2 linked regions of the Rhinolophus ferrumequinum genome follow. The protein of the gene in region 2 purifies or fractionates together with the protein of the main gene of each other region. This does not show direct contact. Links are inferred from orthologs where the notes say so. Each region holds a gene or a part of one and is shown on either strand. Other genes may lie near its edges.

The links.
Region 1: the proteins of SNAP25 (region 2) and STX12 purify together in Homo sapiens (co-immunoprecipitation; 3 studies listed by BioGRID and IntAct, with this or other methods). This does not show direct contact. The link is inferred for Rhinolophus ferrumequinum from reciprocal best matches to the Homo sapiens genes SNAP25 and STX12.

The regions. Positions count from the first base shown.
Region 1 is NC_046292.1:19,032,064-19,041,516, reverse strand, and holds the start of STX12 (syntaxin-12), read right to left. Parts: upstream 4,278-9,453; 5' UTR 4,208-4,277; coding exon 4,090-4,207; intron 1-4,089. UniProt on the Homo sapiens protein: SNARE promoting fusion of transport vesicles with target membranes. Together with SNARE STX6, promotes movement of vesicles from endosomes to the cell membrane, and may therefore function in the endocytic recycling pathway.
Region 2 is NC_046306.1:30,945,043-30,954,552, reverse strand, and holds the start of SNAP25 (synaptosomal-associated protein 25), read right to left. Parts: upstream 4,543-9,510; 5' UTR 4,392-4,542; intron 1-4,391.

The sequences.
Region 1 (9,453 bases), on a different chromosome or scaffold from region 2:
AGAAAGATGGCCTGCCTACACAGCAGAGGGTGAAGTAGAAAATACGGTTAATTTGCGTTAAGATGACAGAGAGGATAAAAGCAAGGTGGAATGTTAAGATTTGATGCAGCAGACGATACAGAGCCCCTGGAGGCTCTTGAGGAGGTGAGTGGTATAATAAAAACAGGGTTGCAGACGTACTGCTGATAGCTGAACTACAATGGGAACAGAGACACTTGAGAGTATGCTGTTGGAATACAGATGTTGAGATCATGAAGACTTCAAGAGGGTGGTAACGAAATAAAAAGCAAGGGGCAAGTATGAAAATAACTTTGAAAGCACAACCCACAGAATTTCAGGATAATCAGTTTTTAAAAGTTCCACTGCTTTTTCATTTTTTGGTAAACAAAACAATATCAATAAATTAGCAACATGAAGGAACAGAAATGCTGTTCTTTAATCTTTTCAGAGATCACTTAGAGGCTATTCAGTTTTTTCCTTTATTTGCCTCGGGAATACCTGCCCAGACCCTTCGTTCCACAACAGGCAGAGTCAAGTACTTTTCCTCTGTACCTCACACCTACTGATAACAAACCTTTATAACCGGGCAGTCAACCTTAGCTGTACCTGTCAACCCACACAATGACCTGCTGTATTTCAGCCAGATATGCTCAGCAATTCCAAACCCACGTACGTGGCTGAACAGTTAGGGAAAAAGAATAGCTATTCTCTAAATTCTCAGTGGGTACAGGTCCTGGCCGGGCTGGAAGGATGTGGATATATGTCTGCGCTCACATTCCGACTGTGTACTTTATGCCGGCCACGTCTTGGAGAGGTCTGGGCAACAGGCACTCGCCTCATCGTGCTGACTGGGTAGAAGCAGTGTCACCCTACCAATTTCAAATCCCCAGTTCCTCACCAAACAATCCCAAAGGAAGAATTCCAACACTGCCTAGGGTCAGTAAGATGTGGTAGGTACCACACCGTTCAAGGAGAATGAGGCAGGAAGTGTTCCAAGGTGGTAGAAAAACCTCATTCCTTCAAATCTACTCAATACAATTTATTAAGCATCACGCCCCTCTATGATATGATCCCTGACTACCTCCCAGACCTATTTTCTTCCTGTGCTCCGTTTCTCTAACTGCACTCCAGCCACACTAGCCTTCTTGCCATTCTTAGAACACACCAAGGTCTTTGCTCCTGCTAGTCCCTCTGCCTAGAACGCCGTCCCCCGGCTACTCACCTGGCTCTCTCCCTCCCGTCATTCAGTGTCTCCTCAAATGTCACCTCCTCAGCGAGGCCTTCCTTGGCCAACTTATCTAAAAGAGCACACCCACCCTCTCTCTCGTCTCTCTATCTCTTTGCCCTATTTTATTTCTTCATAGTACTGATTTACTACATAGTATTTGCATGTGTGCATATATATACACACACACACACAGACACACACGATCAGGGAAGGGATTTTGTCTGTCTTGTTCTTTGTCTTGTTTCTCCACCAGTGCATAGCAGGTGCTCAAAGAATATTTGCTGAACAGTGAATGAATAAATCTATCATATGTTTGGACTGACATAAGTACTAGAAATATAAAGATGAGTTAAGTCATGTCCCATGCTTCAGAAGAACTAACAATCAAACAGGGGAGGCAGACACACCACAAGAGGACAAAGTTTGACGGCCTCAGGTATTCCTCATAGTTTCCTACGGAGAGTAAAAAAAACAACACACTTGTAACTGCTACAAATGTGTAATACTCATTAAAAATTATAAAAAGGTTAATTGCTGATCATAAGAGATGTGGTTTCAAATTCAGGTATTGCCATTTGTTAGCAGGGTAAGTACTTAACCTTTCTCAGTCTGTTTCCTAACCTACACAATGGAAATAATATTGGTAATTACTTTGCAAGGTTGTTAGAAAATTAAGTCAGGTAATGCATGCAAATAATTTTTCATGCTGCCTGGCACACAGTATGGACCCACATTAATGTTCTTAACATTATGTAACAACACCCGATGCAAACTGGCCAAAGGGGCGGGGGAGACAGATGACAGGAAATACTCCTCTGACCACTGCACCAAGTCAACTCACTTGACTCCAATGATCCCTTGAGCCCAATGCCCACTTAACAGTTACATTTTATCAATTCTATCAACAAAGAAACCTCTCCAATCCTTTCCTTCCTTTTTATTTTCACAGTCCCTCACTGGTGTCTCTGATTATAGTGTCTCTCTCCCAATTCAATTTACACATTCCTAAAGAATTAAATCCAAACCCCTTTAGTTTAGCACTTAAAGTCCATCCTGTTTGGGCCCCAACTTACCTTTCTAACCCTATCTTCTTCCATTACTTTCTGAAGTCCACCACTGTAGCCAAATTAAATCACTCTACTTTTGTATAATACCCGATGCTTTCCCACTACCAGGCCTTGTTCGTTTTATTCCTTCCTGGAATGCTCTTCTGTTCTTTACCCTCAAAAATTCAAATCCTTCCCAGCATCTTTCCAGCCCTAGCTCAAATGCCATAATGCCTTCCTTGACCCTTCCCAACTGAAAATGATCTCTATCTCCCCCGAATACCTACATGTTGTTTATATCTCTTCTATAGCATTGCTCCCTTTTAACTTTATATTTCAGTTATTATGTACTCCACAGAAACCCTTTTGAAACAATCCATGCAGTTTCAATACTACTTACTACATAGCCTGATACTCAAATATATGTAGAATGATTTCACAAATAGACATTAAAATAAGATTTAGCCTCAAAAGAACTTCTAGCCTTGAACTTCAATTTTCTGATCTAACATATATTATAGCTCCCTCACACACACGAAAATAACTGGAACACAAAGTATTGTATTTTCTAACCAGTAGTCATATTATTTTTTTTAATTTCTGGATTTAACAGGCCACATATTCTTCTTTCCACTTTCAAATCACCCAGTCTCAATCCCCTCCCATCAGAAACTTCCGGCTGCTCAAATTCTACATCATATAAGAGTATTTAAATTTAAAAGCAAAGTGATAAGATTGTTTTTTAAAATATAGAACGTAATTGTAATTCAAGACCAACTAGGTCTACCTAGTCACAAAGTACAGCCAAGTACACAAAAACACAACAATAAACAACATGAACGATGGTGACCGTTTTTTCCAAGTAAAGCTGCTGCTGACCTCCTGCTGATAAGGCTCTGAGCTGATTTCCAGGCAAAAGAAACAGCCTGTATTTGACTCACTCAGCCAGTCTCACTCAGACCCTACTGGTGGGGACAGAATTTTAAGACAAGCAATGACATCCTGAAATCCACCACCAGCTCTACTACGTCTTACTTGCTATGTGATTGTGGCCAAGTCCCTGAGCTTCTCTGTATCACATGTGTTCAAGAGCAGCTAAATAGGAAAGGAAAACAAAAGCTCCATCAGCTTGAAAACCAAAAATATATGCAGATATTTTGTTACAAGAGACAAAATAATGTAAATTGAAATGTTTTCGGTGAATTCTCTTTATTAAAACAGAAGTCATCTTACTCCTCAAATACAAATCACTGTATCTGATTTCCAAATTCATTAAAGGAAGAACTGTGTATTAAGTCATCCAAACACATCCATGCTCCACTTCCCTTAATTGAAAGCTGCTGATTTCCAAGGAGCCAGAAACTGAGCAGAATGTAAACCTAAAGTCTCAAACAGTAAACAACTCCCGATGCAAACTGGCCAAAGAGGAAAGAGAGGTGGGGCCGGGGGTGGGAGGAGGCAGATGACAGGAAATACTCGGCTGACCACTGCGCCAAGTCAACTTACTGACTGCTCTCGGGGTGACACACATACCCCCACCCACCTGGGGCTGTCAGCACTGCTCTTATGCCCCAACACCGTGAGGGCATAACTCCTAAGACGAGACTCGAGCTTCCAGCCGGGGCTCGGAACCCTCGGGGGAGCCCGGCCCTGACAGACTCCGGGATGGCAGCTCGCCGCCTCCAGACTGGAAAGGCTGAGAAGGCCTCAGGTGTGGCCTTGGCCGCAGCCCCAGCCGGGCTCCGCGTCCCGGCAGCCTCATCCAGGCCTGTCCCCAGGACGGCCCCCGCCCCCCAGCTCCGTCCCCAGGCTCACTGGCTTGGCTGATCCGCTGGATGTTGCCGCTGCAAGTCTGGATGATGCTGCTGAAGTCCCGGCGCTGGGGGCCCGAGGGCCCCGGGTTCCGGTACATGTCTAAGGGACCGTAGGACATGACGAACAGCTGAGACCGACTCGCCCTGCACCGGGGTCCTACCGGAAGCAGCTACCAAACCGGACCGCAGAGTGACGGAGAAACCGGGAAGAAAAAGGGCAGGGACGGGGCCGAGGCTGCGTGCGCACTAGCACCGCCCCCACGCAGCGCGCACGCGTCCTCCCCGCCCTGCCCCACAGTGCGCATGCGCCGCTGCCGCTGGGACCAGAGACGGTAGCTTAGAGACTGGACGCCCTGGGCCTTGGGAATGCGGGGCGGGGCGATGACGTCACACCGTTGAAGCTGGGATTGGTGGAGCTGGGGTGGCTGTGTTGTTTCTCGCCAGGACTCGGTGACAGGAGGCAAGAATTTTCGATTAGCATAAAATTGTACCAGATGATCTCAGCCTTAACATCCTATTCTGTTCTATTCTGAGAATTCAGGCCCAAATATGGGAGTATATGATAACGTTGAAACTCAGATCCGTAACCAAATTTCTGAAATTCCTCACTGTACTTCGTTTACCTACCGCTTTGTTAGTAGCGGAGCACTTTTACGATTTACAAACCACTTTCATTTCTCCCTCCACCCCTCTTCTAATCAAACAATAAAATAATAAGAAGATTTATCACGTACTATGTGTGAATCCTCACTGCAATTCAATTGTTCATAAGCTCTTTCACAGCAAGGGGACCATGTCCTAACTATATTTTTGCCTTCAGAATAGATAATGAACAATCGATTTTTTAAATGTTGAAATAAAGTAACTGACCAAAGGAAGCGTTATTATTTTTCCTTTTACAATTGAAAAAATTAAGCCCACAGAGGTTAGTTTGCTTTTCTGACTGCAAAACCCAAACACTAAGCTAACTGCATCATCATCTCCCTACTTTCCTAAAACCCATTCTCATATTCCAAAATTCATTCTCCATCTAAATCCCTCCCAAATAACGTTTTCATTTATATCCCAAACCAGGATTTCTTGGAGAACTAGACCCTCGAATTTTTAAAATAATTTCCTTAAGTAATTTGGAGCATATGACCTCAGTGTTCCCACAGAAGACTGCATTTTGTGAGCTTATGGTAAATGGAAAGACATGAGTTTGGGAGATCAAGACAGGGAGAAGTGAAGGGGAACTGGCAAGGTTTGTTTCTTGTGTTCTCCACCCCAGCCCAGCCTGCTTTGTAATCTCTGGGGAATGGTAAAGAGAGGAAGCTGCTTGCCTGTGTGGGAGGGGACCCCAAATGGTTGAATGAGCCTGCTTTCAGCTTTAGAGCTTTTATAAGCCAGTCGATCTCTATTTTTCGTTGGAGCATTTATAAGAGCATTTTTCTTTCCTCTATAAAAAGAGGCAGATGACATTTGGGGGCTCTCATTCTGGTTAAAACCCTACCATTTCTCAGAATCCATAGTTTTATGTCAAATCTTACAGCAAATTATGTAAATTGTACTTTTTTTTCACCTCTAAAATAGTCTTGAGAATGTTTTCATTTACATTTCACTCTATGCAAAGTGAAGTTCAGTAAAGGTATTTTTCTCCTAGCAACTGAAGACATTGGTTATTGTTGTTTTCTTTCTCCACCTAAAATTAAAAGTGGTTTTAATTTTAAACCACTTTAATTTTAAAAGATGGCTGTGCCTTATGCTATCTCTCATAGCAATACATTTGTACCTTGCAAATACTAGATGTCAAATGAACATTTACCGGATTTATAGATGAATAATTAAAAATAACTACCATTTCTTAAATGCCTATCCAGGCAATGTGAACAAATTGTACAAACATTTATCAGTAATCCCCAAGATAAAGCCCATGTGATAAAGACCACCTGTGGTCTGACAAAGTTAGGTTTATTAACTTAATGCTGCAAGGCAGACTGCACACCAGAGGAATCATGGGGCATCCCGCCAAGCACAGAAAGAGATAGTTATTCTAGGATTTGGAGAAAAGATGTGGTGTTTTGATATAGCCTCAAAGCACACCAGGCTATGTGTAAAGGGATTCTCATCAGGCCTGAGCTGATAAGAGGACTCAAAATCCTGTTTCCTTGGAAACTACAACATGAAGATTAACGTGGAATGTTGTACCTGGAAAGCCCTTATCTGAAGGTTTGCATCTGGGTTGGAAAACTGAGGCTGTTTCTCTGTGTCAGAGTAACTCAGATTCTCCAGTCGAGTGGAATATTCAATTCTTATTGATATTTCAATTAGCACATTTTCTGAAAATCTGTGGTTTTAGAGAATAAAGTTTCTCAGCATTATGTCCTTTTGTTAATTGACAAAAACAGTTTTCATGGTTTGCACCATAAAGGTGAGATTAATTCCTTGGTAACAGATAAGGAAACTTGTGTTCTGTAGAGGTTCTGGATACTTGCTCAATGTGATACAGATATGAAGCTACAGAGCTGTGATTCACACGTATTCTATGACTCAACAATTCTAGTCCTAACTATATAATCAACAGATATGCACACATATGTGTTCCGAAAACCAAATATAGGAATGTTCATAATAGCATTTTTTAGGACTAAATGGCATTTTTCTGTATTAATTTTTATTGAGTCATAATTGACATACAATAGAATGTATAGATAGGAAGTGTTCAAGTCAATGAATTTTTTTTTTACTTTTTATTGGGGAATATTGGGGAACAGTGTGTTTTTCCAGAGCCCATCAGTTCCAAGTCGTTGTCTTCAATCTAGTTGTGGAGAGCGCAGCTCCCTGGCCCATGTGGGAATTGAACCCGCAACCCTGTTGTTAAGAGCCGGTGCTCTAACCAACTGAACCATCCGGCCACCCCTCAAGTCAATGAATTTTGTTTGACACTTGTACATACCCAGGTTACTACCACCCAAACCAGGATATAGAACATTTTCATCATCACCCCAGCAAGTTTCCTCGAACTATGCTCTTTCTAATTAATTCCACTTATCCACAGAAATCACTTTCTGATTTTCATCACTACAGATTAGTTTTGACTATTCTTGGACTTCAGAGTGATGAAATCATATTTTATGTATCCTTTAGTGTTTGGCTTGTTTGAATTAAGGATGTTTTTTGAGATTTATCCATGATGCTGCATATATCAGTGGTTTGATCCTTTTTATTGCTAAATAGTATTTTATCAATTTGATTATTCACTTTCTTATGGATGGACATTCAAATTGTTTCCAGTCTGAGGCACGAAGAAGGCCAGAGCAGGATTTCTTTTTTTACTAGTTCCAACTGGAAACAACTGTCCATCAGCAGAATGGATAAATTGTAGTACTATAGAGCATAAAATTAAATGGCCTGCTGCTATGTGAATGATGTGGGTGATCTCATCCAAATATAACGTACAGCAAAGGAAGCCAGACAAAAATGAGTATATCCTGTATGATCCCTTTTTTTATTAGGTTCAAACCCAGCCAAATTAATCTAGATTATTAAAAGTCAGAACAGCATGTAGTTAGTTCCGGGGTGGAAAGGGGATGACTAGGAATGGGCCCATGAGGTAGACTTGTAGGAAGCTCGTAGCAGCCTTACTTGATCTGGGTGGTGATCGTCTAGGTGTGTTTACTTTGTGAAAATTCATCAAGTCAGATATGTGTGATGAATGCCCACTTCTGTATGTATGCTATACTTCAGTAAATAAGTTTTACCTTTTAAGTACAAAGTACCATTATAACCAACATGGCAAGCTTTCTGCGGAAAGGTAGGGAAGGGTCAATGGAGAAATTCACTTAGGTTGCAAAGAAGACTGCATTAAAATTAGAGCTCATGTCAACTACAATTAAAAATAAATTAGGGGGCGGCCAGATGGCTCAGTTGGTTAGAGTGCGAGCTCTGAGCAACAGACTTGCTGGTTCGATTCCCACATGTGCCAGTGAGTTGTGCCCTCCACAACAACTCGAGTGAAGAGAACGAGCTGCCGCTGAGCTTCCGGGTGGCTGGATGGCTCAGCTGGTTAAGAGCACATGCTCTCAACAGCAAGGTTGCCAGTTCGACTCTTGCAAGGGATGGTGGGCTGAGCGCCGCCCCCCTCCCCCCACCCAGCTAGATTGGAAAAAAAAAAAAAGAAAACGGCAACTGGATTTGGAGCTCAGCTACGCCCTCCACAACTAAGATTGAAAGGACAACTTGACTTGGAGCTGATGGGCCTTGAAAAAACCACACTGTTCCCCAATAAAAGTCCTGGAAATACATACTGTTCCCCAATAAAGTCCTGTTCCCCTTCCCCAATTAAAAAATAAATAAATAAATAAATAAATAAAATAAAATAAAATCCAGGTCTAAAAAAATTAGCACTTATTATACATTGCTAGTGGGAATGAAAAATTGTACAACCACTTTGGAAAACATTTTGGCAGTTTCTTAGAGAATTAAACATAAATTTACCATACAATCCAGCAATCCAACCATCCCACTCCTAGGTATTTACCCAAAAGAAATGAAAACACACGTTCATATAAAGACCTACATGCAACTGTGTAGGGTAGCTTTATTCATAGTAACCCCAAACTGGAAATAATTTAAATATGTCTAGCAGCTGCTGAATAGATAAACTGTGATACATCCATACAATGGAAAATTATTCAGTTATAAAAAAGAACAAACTACTGAAATACAGACTAAATTACTGGGACATGCAACAGCATGGATGAATCTCAAAAGCATATGCTAAATGAAAGATGCCAGACACAAACAGCTACATACTGAATGACTCCATTTATAGGACATTCTCAAAAGGCAAAACTATAGGGATAGAAGTCAGATTGATGCTTACCAAGGGCTGGAGTTGGGGGAGGGGATTGACTGCCAAGGAGCACAAGGGAAGTTTTTGGATTAATGGAAATGTTCTTTATCTTGATTGTCGTCATTACACAAATGCATACATCCATCAAAACTCTTTGATCTATAACTAAGAATAGTAAATTTTACTGTATTCAAATATATCTTACTAAACCTTTAAAAAGATGTCACTCTAAAGATCAATGCGATGAAGTGGCATGCAGGAGGTAGGTAATACGGAGTTGAAAAAAAAAGATACAAAGTTGTGGGTTGCATGAGTGTTCTGTTGACGGGATAGAATGACACTGAAAGCAAAAAACAAGTGAACATAGGAGGCAGACAATTAAGTTCACGAACTCCTCCTAGAAAAAGTGCTGCATACCTCATTGCTGAATATCACTATGGTCACCTTCGAAGTACTCCCCTTGGGAAGCTATGCACCAACGCCAGCAGCTAGTCCACTCTTCAAAGCAATTTTGGAACTCTTTTTGGAATG
Region 2 (9,510 bases):
TGTCAGCATTTGGAATTTTAAAGCTCTGCTGAGAGAGTACAAGATTAAAAAAGAAGAGGGTATAGTTTAAACTAGCCCTTAAATGAGAGTAACCAGCCAAAGTCACCAATGATAGTCGGGGGAAAAATAGGATATAATGCCCACCTCACCTTAGTTTTCCAAATTTTTCACCACAGCATCTTTTTTGTTTTTTTTTCACTTTTAGCGACTTGGGGCTTATTCTATGTGTCATATTGCATGAAACATGCACAGAAAAACTGGTATTTTTTTAAAAAAAATCTTTCCAGCCAGTGTATTTGACAATGCAGACTACTCAGAGGGTGCAAGAGACGGGTACACATGTTTATTATTCAAGTGTATGCTCTGGGCACCTCGCATCACCAGATTCCTCACCCACTTTTCAATCTCTCTGGTAAGTGCTCGTCTTGAACAATTTGTTTTAATCAGTAATGGAAAATTGAAACTTACAATTAACTTCTGGGCAAGACTTACAAATCTATCTGTATCCTGAAGAGTGATCATAAAAGATGCCTGAATGAGGACTGATTCTTTTTAAAAATTAATCATCCCTTATGATATCAATTGCAGCCCTCTATTTCTGGAAGAATGCAAATTCAATCCACTCTGTCAATAGCAATTCCTAGATATTAAAAAGGAGCTGATTACTTTGTTATGTCAGCTTCTGCTCAGAAATCAACTGTAGAGGACAAAGTACCAAATCCTCAGCTTGGCATTCAAAGCCTTCCACAGAAGGCTCCAACTCTTCATTCCAACATATTCCCCTGTACAAGCTTCACACTCCTTCCAAATGGATGAACGTTTTTTGGGTTCGCTGACCATAACTTGGGCTTACCTAACTTGTAGTTCTGCCTATGCCGTAACTTGTACTTAGTTGTAGAATACCTCCCTCACCTCATTGTAATCTCCAAAAAGCCAGCTCAAGTCCTAACTCTCAGATCATACTGCATTATTGCGGCCCTCAGAATTTACATTTCTTACTTTTGGTCATGTTCACTGGCAAATAATGATATACTCTCTCGTGATTTTTCTTCTACTGTTTTATTGCATTTTCATTCTGGTATTATTTATTAATTTCTGTTATTTATTGTTTTCCTTAAGATTACAAGAGCTAAACTTATTGAGGTCAAAGACCATCTAAGCATGAGGCTTTATATCCTCCACGGGGTTCATTTATGTATCTGGTGCTCACTGATTGATTGATCAATATCCTCCTATCAGGTCGGTCCCTGCTGACAAGGTATGACACTGCAGAAACATATCTAGCACTGAGGCTGAAAACACCAATTTTCTTATCTTTATAGTATTGTAAAGCAGTTCCATAATGTGAGAAAAACAGTTTATTCCTAATGCACCGTCTAAAAAGCAGATTTATCTATTTTATCCTTTATGCCTTCTCTCTCAACCTTTTTCTCAAATTATCTCTCATTTCCACTAATCATCAAAGTCTACATGTTCTGCTTGAAGACCAGCTGCTACAGGAAGAGGTGCTACTGGCAGAAACATCAGCTGGTTGATAACCATCACTTGGGTGAACACTTAGAGCTTAAGAATGTCTTTAGACAAGCTAATTAGGGGCAGCTTGTACTGTGTTTGTGCATGTGTGGGTGTGCATGTTTATAACAAAGTAAAAATAAAATTGTGAATTCTTGGGAGATTTTACATGGAGAGGTTAAGAAAATTATAAAGTGTTTTGTATTCTGAGTGTCAAGGTGGTAATTCAGAAAATGCCAGTGAGCAAATAAGCAGGTACTATTAGAGGGTCTGTGGGAATGTTTCCTGATGCATCCCTATGGCCATCTGCTCCTGCCCCTTCTCACTGTATTGCCCTGAATTTTTAAAATTTAAAATAGGACGTCTCTTCATTTTTCCTGAAGCTTATCAATAAAGTAAATGTTAAATTCATGCTTCAATATCTTTTCCTTTAATTTCTCAGTAAGCTATTCCAGAATTAGCTCCATAATTTTGCACATCGCCACTTCCTCCCAGATCTGTGCCCTTTGCCAGCTTCACTGCAGTCTTCTACCTCCACACCCCCCACTCCAGTCTTCCACCAGCAAACAAACCCAGCAGTAATTACTAATGTCCAAGCACGTAATGCCAGCAGTGCTAGGCTTTTTCATTTGACGCAACTACGCAGAGAGTTGTCTGGACATGTAGCATAAAGTCAAAGCCTTTTTGAAGACTCCTACCCATCTTTTCTCCCCTCTCCCCATCACTAAAACACAGTTGTTTATTTCATCTGCAGATTACAGTTATAAAATTCTTCCATGCAGTTCCATACTCTTGAATAATAATTTTACATCACATACAACAACAAATCGATATATATTTATGTGGAAACACATGGTTATCCATAAAACTGAAAACCTTCGAAAATCAATGGCTGGGAATGAAAGTACCCTGTCTATGTGGACAGGGCATTTTAGCACCTCTAGTATGTAAATGATTGGAGCTATGACTAACTAAACACAATCCAAGATCTTATTTTGAGGCTTTTCAGGGGACCATGATAGTATTTCTTCAACACGTTGTATATATTCTTACATATGGCACTGTTACTCTTATTTAACACTACTCAAATAGTACAATTTTGCTTCTGGTATTTTAATGCAAATTTTATCTATATCAAATGGCTGGAAATATCCTGTGATAATTTGTTCACTGAGAGGCTCCAAGTCTCAGAGTAAAAAATGGTTAAATTACTTATCACCACCTCAGCAAAATCCCGCAGTGCCGTAATAGAAATTGCAGTAGATCTTTATGTCAGAGTCCAGTTTCAGTCTAACACCACGGTCCTTTCACCAGCATTACCCTGAAGGACATAGTTGGGTTCACCTGAGGAAAACCAGTCTTAGTTGTCAAATCAGAAACTATCACTGAGATAACCAATGTCTGTGGAAATTACTTTCACTCACTCTGAAACCACAGCCAAAAAGAGTAAATTTACATCCCATAAGACCTGTAATTTGTAGAAATGTCTTTTTTGTGGGGATGTGCTTGGGTTCATGCGTAATTACAAGGATGGAAGAGAAGGAAGAAGAAGAGGGGTTCATTCTTAAAGTTGATTCTGCTTAGTTCAACTACCCCATTATTTTTATCAAACAGAAATATATATGGAGAAATATAATTCTTATAAACAAATCATATGGCATCTTCATATATACCTCACTCATGCCCACCTAAGATCTGTAGATAGATCTACAATGTGCTAAAAACAAAAATAAACAAAACCCTTGATATCCGACTCAAGAATAAATGCATATCTTTTCAAAATATGTTTATTTCTTAGCAAAATAAGGGAAGGGGCAACACAGAAAATTTCTACAAGTAGACTACTACTTTTTTTAAAGCTTTGCTGGAGCTGACAGGATGGGAGCAGGCAATTGCCAGCAAAGGAGTCCCTATGGGTAGGATTTATTTTTCTTTTCTTTTCTCCCCTTCCTCCCTTCCTTCCTTTTTTCTTTTCCTTCCTTCCTTCCTCCCTTCTTTCCTTCCTTCCTTCTATGTCTGCTCTGTTAGGGGTCTCTGTGAGACCAGGGTCTCAGAGATGCAATTTGGCCTCCAGCCCCGGAACATCTAGCCCTGGTCAGGAATCTCTGCCACAGATGCAACGCCGCGGCCGGACCGCTGTCCGCCGTGCTGAAAGATTGAGGGTGTCAGTGCGGCCCCTCGGTATTGCTGTCCAGGGTGCTGAGTGCGGTTCGCCGCAGTCCCTAAGGCGAGACCACCTCCGCCAGCTCTCCGCAGAGCCCTCCCACCCAGCACGATCCGCCCGCCTCCCGCCAGCCTGCAGTTGACGTGGAGCAGGCGGCATAAATCAAGTCTGTGGGGCATGGAGGCTGCTGTCGCTTCTGCGGCCCAGCTTGCCCGAGGCGGGAACAACCCCTTCTCCTTTCGCCTCCCCAGTGCCGACACCCTGCCTTCTCCCCAATTCTTCCCTGGGTAATAGCGCCCTAACGTCAACAGTCATAATAATAGGAGCAGAACGACAGAGTTGGCTTATTTCGGTCTACAGAAAAAAAAAAAGCAGCCTAAACATCTCTGAAAACTGCATCGCAAAATGGAAGAGAGGATCCCACTACAGTTTCCAAAGAGTAAGTTATTATTCAGTACGTATCCTTCCTTGCGCTTCCTCCCAATCGCTCCATCTGCAGGGTCCCCATTCATCCCTTCCCCAAGCAGCTCACCTCGAATATACTTTCTAAAGCCCCAGGCGGGAGTCTAGCCAGACGCGCACGTACTGAATACCGCACCCTAGGTGCACAAATTCTTGTATTTGCCCAAGCTCACTTGGTCTGCCCAGCTGTGCTCCCCTCCGGGTATACAGTCATCCAGATCCAGAACCACGACCTGGGGAGTGGGGCCCTTACCTTAGCTTCTCCAGAGGGTGGTGTTCGCCCGGCCCCTGCAGGTTGCGAGTGTGGAGGAGCCGCCGAGCAGGGAGGGAAGGAAAGACAGCGCCTGACCTCCCCGAGGTTTCGTCTTCAATGCAACGTGAGCTGTGCCCTCATCAAAGATGGCCGTCCCTTTTGACGTCAGCAGCTTTTAATAGCTGTGTCCTGGAGGGGCGGGGAGAAGTGTGCCGTGGGGGAGGGCTGAAGGAGGCCGGCGTCTGGGAGTGGGAGGAGAGGTGCGCTTTGCTGCAAACCTTTGTATTTTAGCCTTTTATGAACACCCGAAAGGGACGAGTCTTCTAACTCCATTTTAACATCCGGTCTCGGGCAAACACATTTGTCTCACGGCTGGTTTTCTGATATTCTTTATTTGCATATGTGTACGTATGTATATATATGTATGTGTGTGTGCATGATATATATGTACTGTAAGTATATGATATATATGGATTGTATATACATATATAAAATTTCCCCTGCTGAGTTGAGTGTTTAGTTGAGTCATTGAAAGAGAGGGGAAGGCAGAGGAGTAGAAGGCGGGGGGGGGGGGGGGGGGGGGCGGGGTGGAGATTTCAGCTGTAATTTATTTTTTTCTGAAGAAGAGAGAGGGTCGGAAGGGGCATCCCTATCCACCCTCACCAGCTCCATATATGGACAGACTACGTGGGTTGCTATTTTTATGAGTGATTGCTTCATTTTATTAAAGCAGCATCGAGGGCTTGCAATTCGCATTAATGTGGTCAGCTGGAGAGAGAGACTCGCACACGTTATTTTAAAGTACGTCAGAGCAATTATCGCTGAGAGATATGAAATGAGTTAGGGGGGAGAGAACGGAAGGGTAGTTAACCCAAACAGCGTGGGTTTGCTGGAGTTCAAGGCTTAGAAATGAGAGTTGTTTGCGGAGGGCAAAATAGATGACGCTGTTTTCGGTTGAATTTGTCCTCGAAGCCTGGGGTTTTATGATGGATTTCTTACAAATAGTCCACAGAGGCGCGCACACGCCTTATAGAACCGTCCAGACTTTCTGGGGGAATGCGAAGGGCTGCGGGTCCGAGGATCTCCCGGACGCTACAAATTCTGGTGGTCCATTCAGTGCGCAAACCCTGGGTACCAGTCGAGGCTGGCTTGGTTGCCAGCCCAAAACAGGGTGTGGGCGAGAAAGGGTACTTGTGCAGGTCATATGACAGATTAAAAATAATAATCGTAAAGCAATAATCCTAACTGTCCTTCTTTACTGTGTATTGTGCGCCCGGGGAGGGGAGGTATGCAAATGGTTCTGCGGTGGCAGCCTCTCGGATGAATCACAGGTGTTTGGGAGGCTGGAGCGGGGCTCCGAGGGGAGGGCGAACTGGGAAGCGCGTAGGAGGTGGGGGACCTCCGCTGAAGAACTGTTTGTACTTTTCCGGAAAGGATGTGATGAGAAGTCGTGCCTCGAAATATTGAAACTTGATGGCCTCTTTTAGGTGATGGAAAATCCTTGTCTCTGGTCCGGGAAAATAACGCACGCTTCCGTCGCACCACTCCACACTCCCCGCCACACACACACACACACACACACACACACACACACACACACAAACTCACACACACGTGCTGGCCTGAACACCAAGCTTCGGTTTTTAATTGCACACTATAGGAGATGGAGAGAAGGAAAGAGGGAGGAAGTGAAAAAGGGAAGGAGGGAGGGGGAGACAGAGAGAGAGAGAGAGAGAGACCCAAGAAAGGAAAGGAGAAAGCAGAGTTGTAAAGGGGGTGTTTGGAGCAAGCAGAGCTATAAAAATTTAATAAAGAAAGTCTTTAATTGAAATAAGTGAAAGTCATTTTTTTCTTAAAGATTCCATGGTCCAAGGGGTATTCTGAAATATTGTTTTCAATAATAATTAACAAATAGTGTTTGAAATTTATTAAAGCTGGTTTCCTAAAACAAGGTATGTTGCTGAAATTTGTCTGCTTAAATATTCATTAAACATTTAAGATTCTTAAACAATAAAGAAGAAAATCTGCATGGTTCTTAGACACTTAATTGCCAATAAAACTAGTGATGCTTCTTACTTTCATTATGAAGCACACTGGAATTGGGCTGGAATTGGGCTGGGAGAAGTGGTGACGAATGCAAGGTTACTACAAAATCTTTTCTAGTCAGGATTTTTTTTTTTTAATGTGATACTTTTTTAGCATGAGGAAGTTTTGGGGGAATAAGCTTATAGTGAGGAGAAATAAAACATGTTTATGGCCCTCAGACTGAAAGTCATTCAGCAGAAAGTTTTGTGAAGGAATGGAGGAGGTGAGGGATTTTCCAGAATTAAAGAAAACAATAAAATAAAAGTAACTACGTCACTGATGTAGTCTCTTCCTGCTGGCAAAAGCTATGTGGCAGTCACAGGGGAGGACTGACTTGGTATTCTGGATTTTCAGCTGCTGATGCCCCACACTGACATTTTAAGAAATTACAGGTAAGAGGAGAGAGGCTGATTCAAAGCATCACAGAAAATACCACAGGCTCTACGGGATTATCTTGTGGCGGCGGCAGCGTTTTCCATTCACCTGTGCTTGTGTTACAAATGATACTGTTTGAGAGGTTCTCCCATCTTGTTCTGGGAAAGGTATTGGAATCTAATTTGAGAAACATAAACATTGGATAAATATAAGTCTACTAAGGACGACAAGATAGCCTTAAATGTATTTTTAATATGATAATGAAATTTTCTCCCCTAGGGTTTTCTCACTGCTTGATTAAAAAAAAAAAATCCATAGTCATCCTTGATAATAGGAAACCAGCAGATTCGTGTTATTCAGGGTCTATAAAGGCTTAAATCCCACAGAGAAGAAAGGTGATGGAAAATTTGCTCTGAAATGATTCAGATTAGAGAGCTTAAATAACCTTACCAAGGGCACAGCTAATATATGATACAGCTGGAATTTGAACCCCAGGGCCCAAGTTCATAATCACTATGCTTTACAGACTCTTTCAGCCCCTTCAGACTCATCTCCTCTGTATTAGTCAGGGTTGTCCAGAGAAACAGAACCAATAAAGTGTGTGTGTGTGTGTGTGTGTGTGTGTTTTTGTGTGTGTGTACACATTCTCTCTCCCCTTCCTCTCTCTGTCTCTGTCTCTGTCTCTCTCTGTCCATATGTGTATATATATTTATGTGTGTGTATATATATATATATATACATATATATATATATATGTATATATATATATGCAAATAGATTTATTACAAAGAACTGGCTCAAGTGATTATGGAGACTGACAAATCTCAAGATCTGCAGGGTGAGTCAGCAAGCTGGAGACTCAGGAGAGCTAATGATAGTGTAGCTCCAGTCCAAAGGCCAGCAGGCTCAAGCCCCAGGAAGAGTGGCTGTTTCAGTTTTAACCTGAAGGCAGGAAAAAGCCAGTGTCCCAGTTTGAAGGCAGTCAGGCAAGAGTAATTCTCTCTTTCTCTGGAAAGAATCAATCCTTTTGTTCTATTCAGACCTTTCGCTGATTGGATGAGGCCCATCACATTAGGGAGCGCAATCTGCTTTAATCAATCTACTGATTTAAATATTAACCTCATTCAAAGACACTGTTATAGAAATACCTAGAATAATGTTTGACCAAATATCTGGGCATCTGGCCCAGTCAAGCTGACATAAAATTAACTATCATACCCTCCTTTTATAGCTAACCTCTCTGCTTCAGCATATTGGGGTTTGTGTATGACTCTTTCATTGGCAGCTTTAGAGTTCTATTTGCTAATGGGATGAGTCTGTGGATCACTGACCACAAAGTTTGCTTGGGGTGAATTCCAAGAGAGGGATCTAGGCTGGTGAGATGATTCCATGGAGTAAACAGAAGCAACATATTCAAAGGAAAACAGTGCCACGTACAATCAAGGAGGGATTTCAGAGATCAATACCCAATAAAGAGCATAAATAAAAATTGGGTCAGAACTTGCACTCAAAATATACTTGAGAGAGTCAGCCAAAATTCAGAACAGAACAGCAATATTATTGACCACTGGTTTTGAGGAGATGATATGAGGTCTTAAGTAGGAATTTATTCCAAGGGCCAGGAACTCTGGCTGTGAAAATCAGGTTGAGATGGGTTGAGGTGACTAATTCAAGATATGGCTGGGGAATGGAGCAAGGATATTTGGGACCATACAATTCATGTTGGTCATAAAGGGCAGTGCAGTTCTTCCAGCTAGCGGGCACCAAGCTAGGCAAGGCACAGTCTAATGCCTCAGGAGATAGCATCAGTGATCTCTTGGTTATATCCAATGGGCTTCCATCTTTCTGAACCTCTGGCTTCACCCGACACTGTACCATTCATTACATTTCTTAAAGTGCTCTATAATGTGCCTTCACCTCTGTTTCTCTCTCTTATCTGTGGGTTCCTCATTTTCCATGGCAGATGGGTTGAAGCAGAAAAATTGTGGTGCTTAGCAGGTTAAGCTGGACATTTCCCTGAGCCCCACACACAAGCCCTCTGGGAGCTCCATATGTCCACAGAACGTCTCCTGACTCTCCATCATGAAAACTTATATGCTTTAGGCCAAAGAGAATATTGAAAATATTGAACAGCTCACATTCGTCTAGCCCTGTACAAATTCTAAAGCACTGTCACACACATGATCTCATTTTATTCTCACACTCTGGGGTATGTATAAAAGTAATTATTAGTTTAAATTCCAATTAATACATGAGAATTACGATTGATTTTCCAGACTCCTGTACTGACCCTGGTACATCAAGAGAACCCAATGTCCTATTCCTTCTTTCATATGTTGTCTTAAAAACCCTGATCCATGCTCTTGAGTTTAACCATAATTTATGTATGCATGACTGTTAATTTTATATTCACAGTCCCATATTCTCTCATGAGCTTCAGAGTCATATTCCTAGCTTCTTAGTGAATACTCTTATCCGAAGGATCAAAGGCATCTCAAACTGAGCATATTTATGTATCAGTTGATTTCCTTTATTCTTCTTCTCTTCTTACATTTTTAATTAACAATTTCACCAGGTATCCCATTTACTAAACTAGCAGTCAGAAATATCTTAGTTTTGTTCTCCTTTTCTGGCTTTTCTTCAGCTCTATGCACTCATT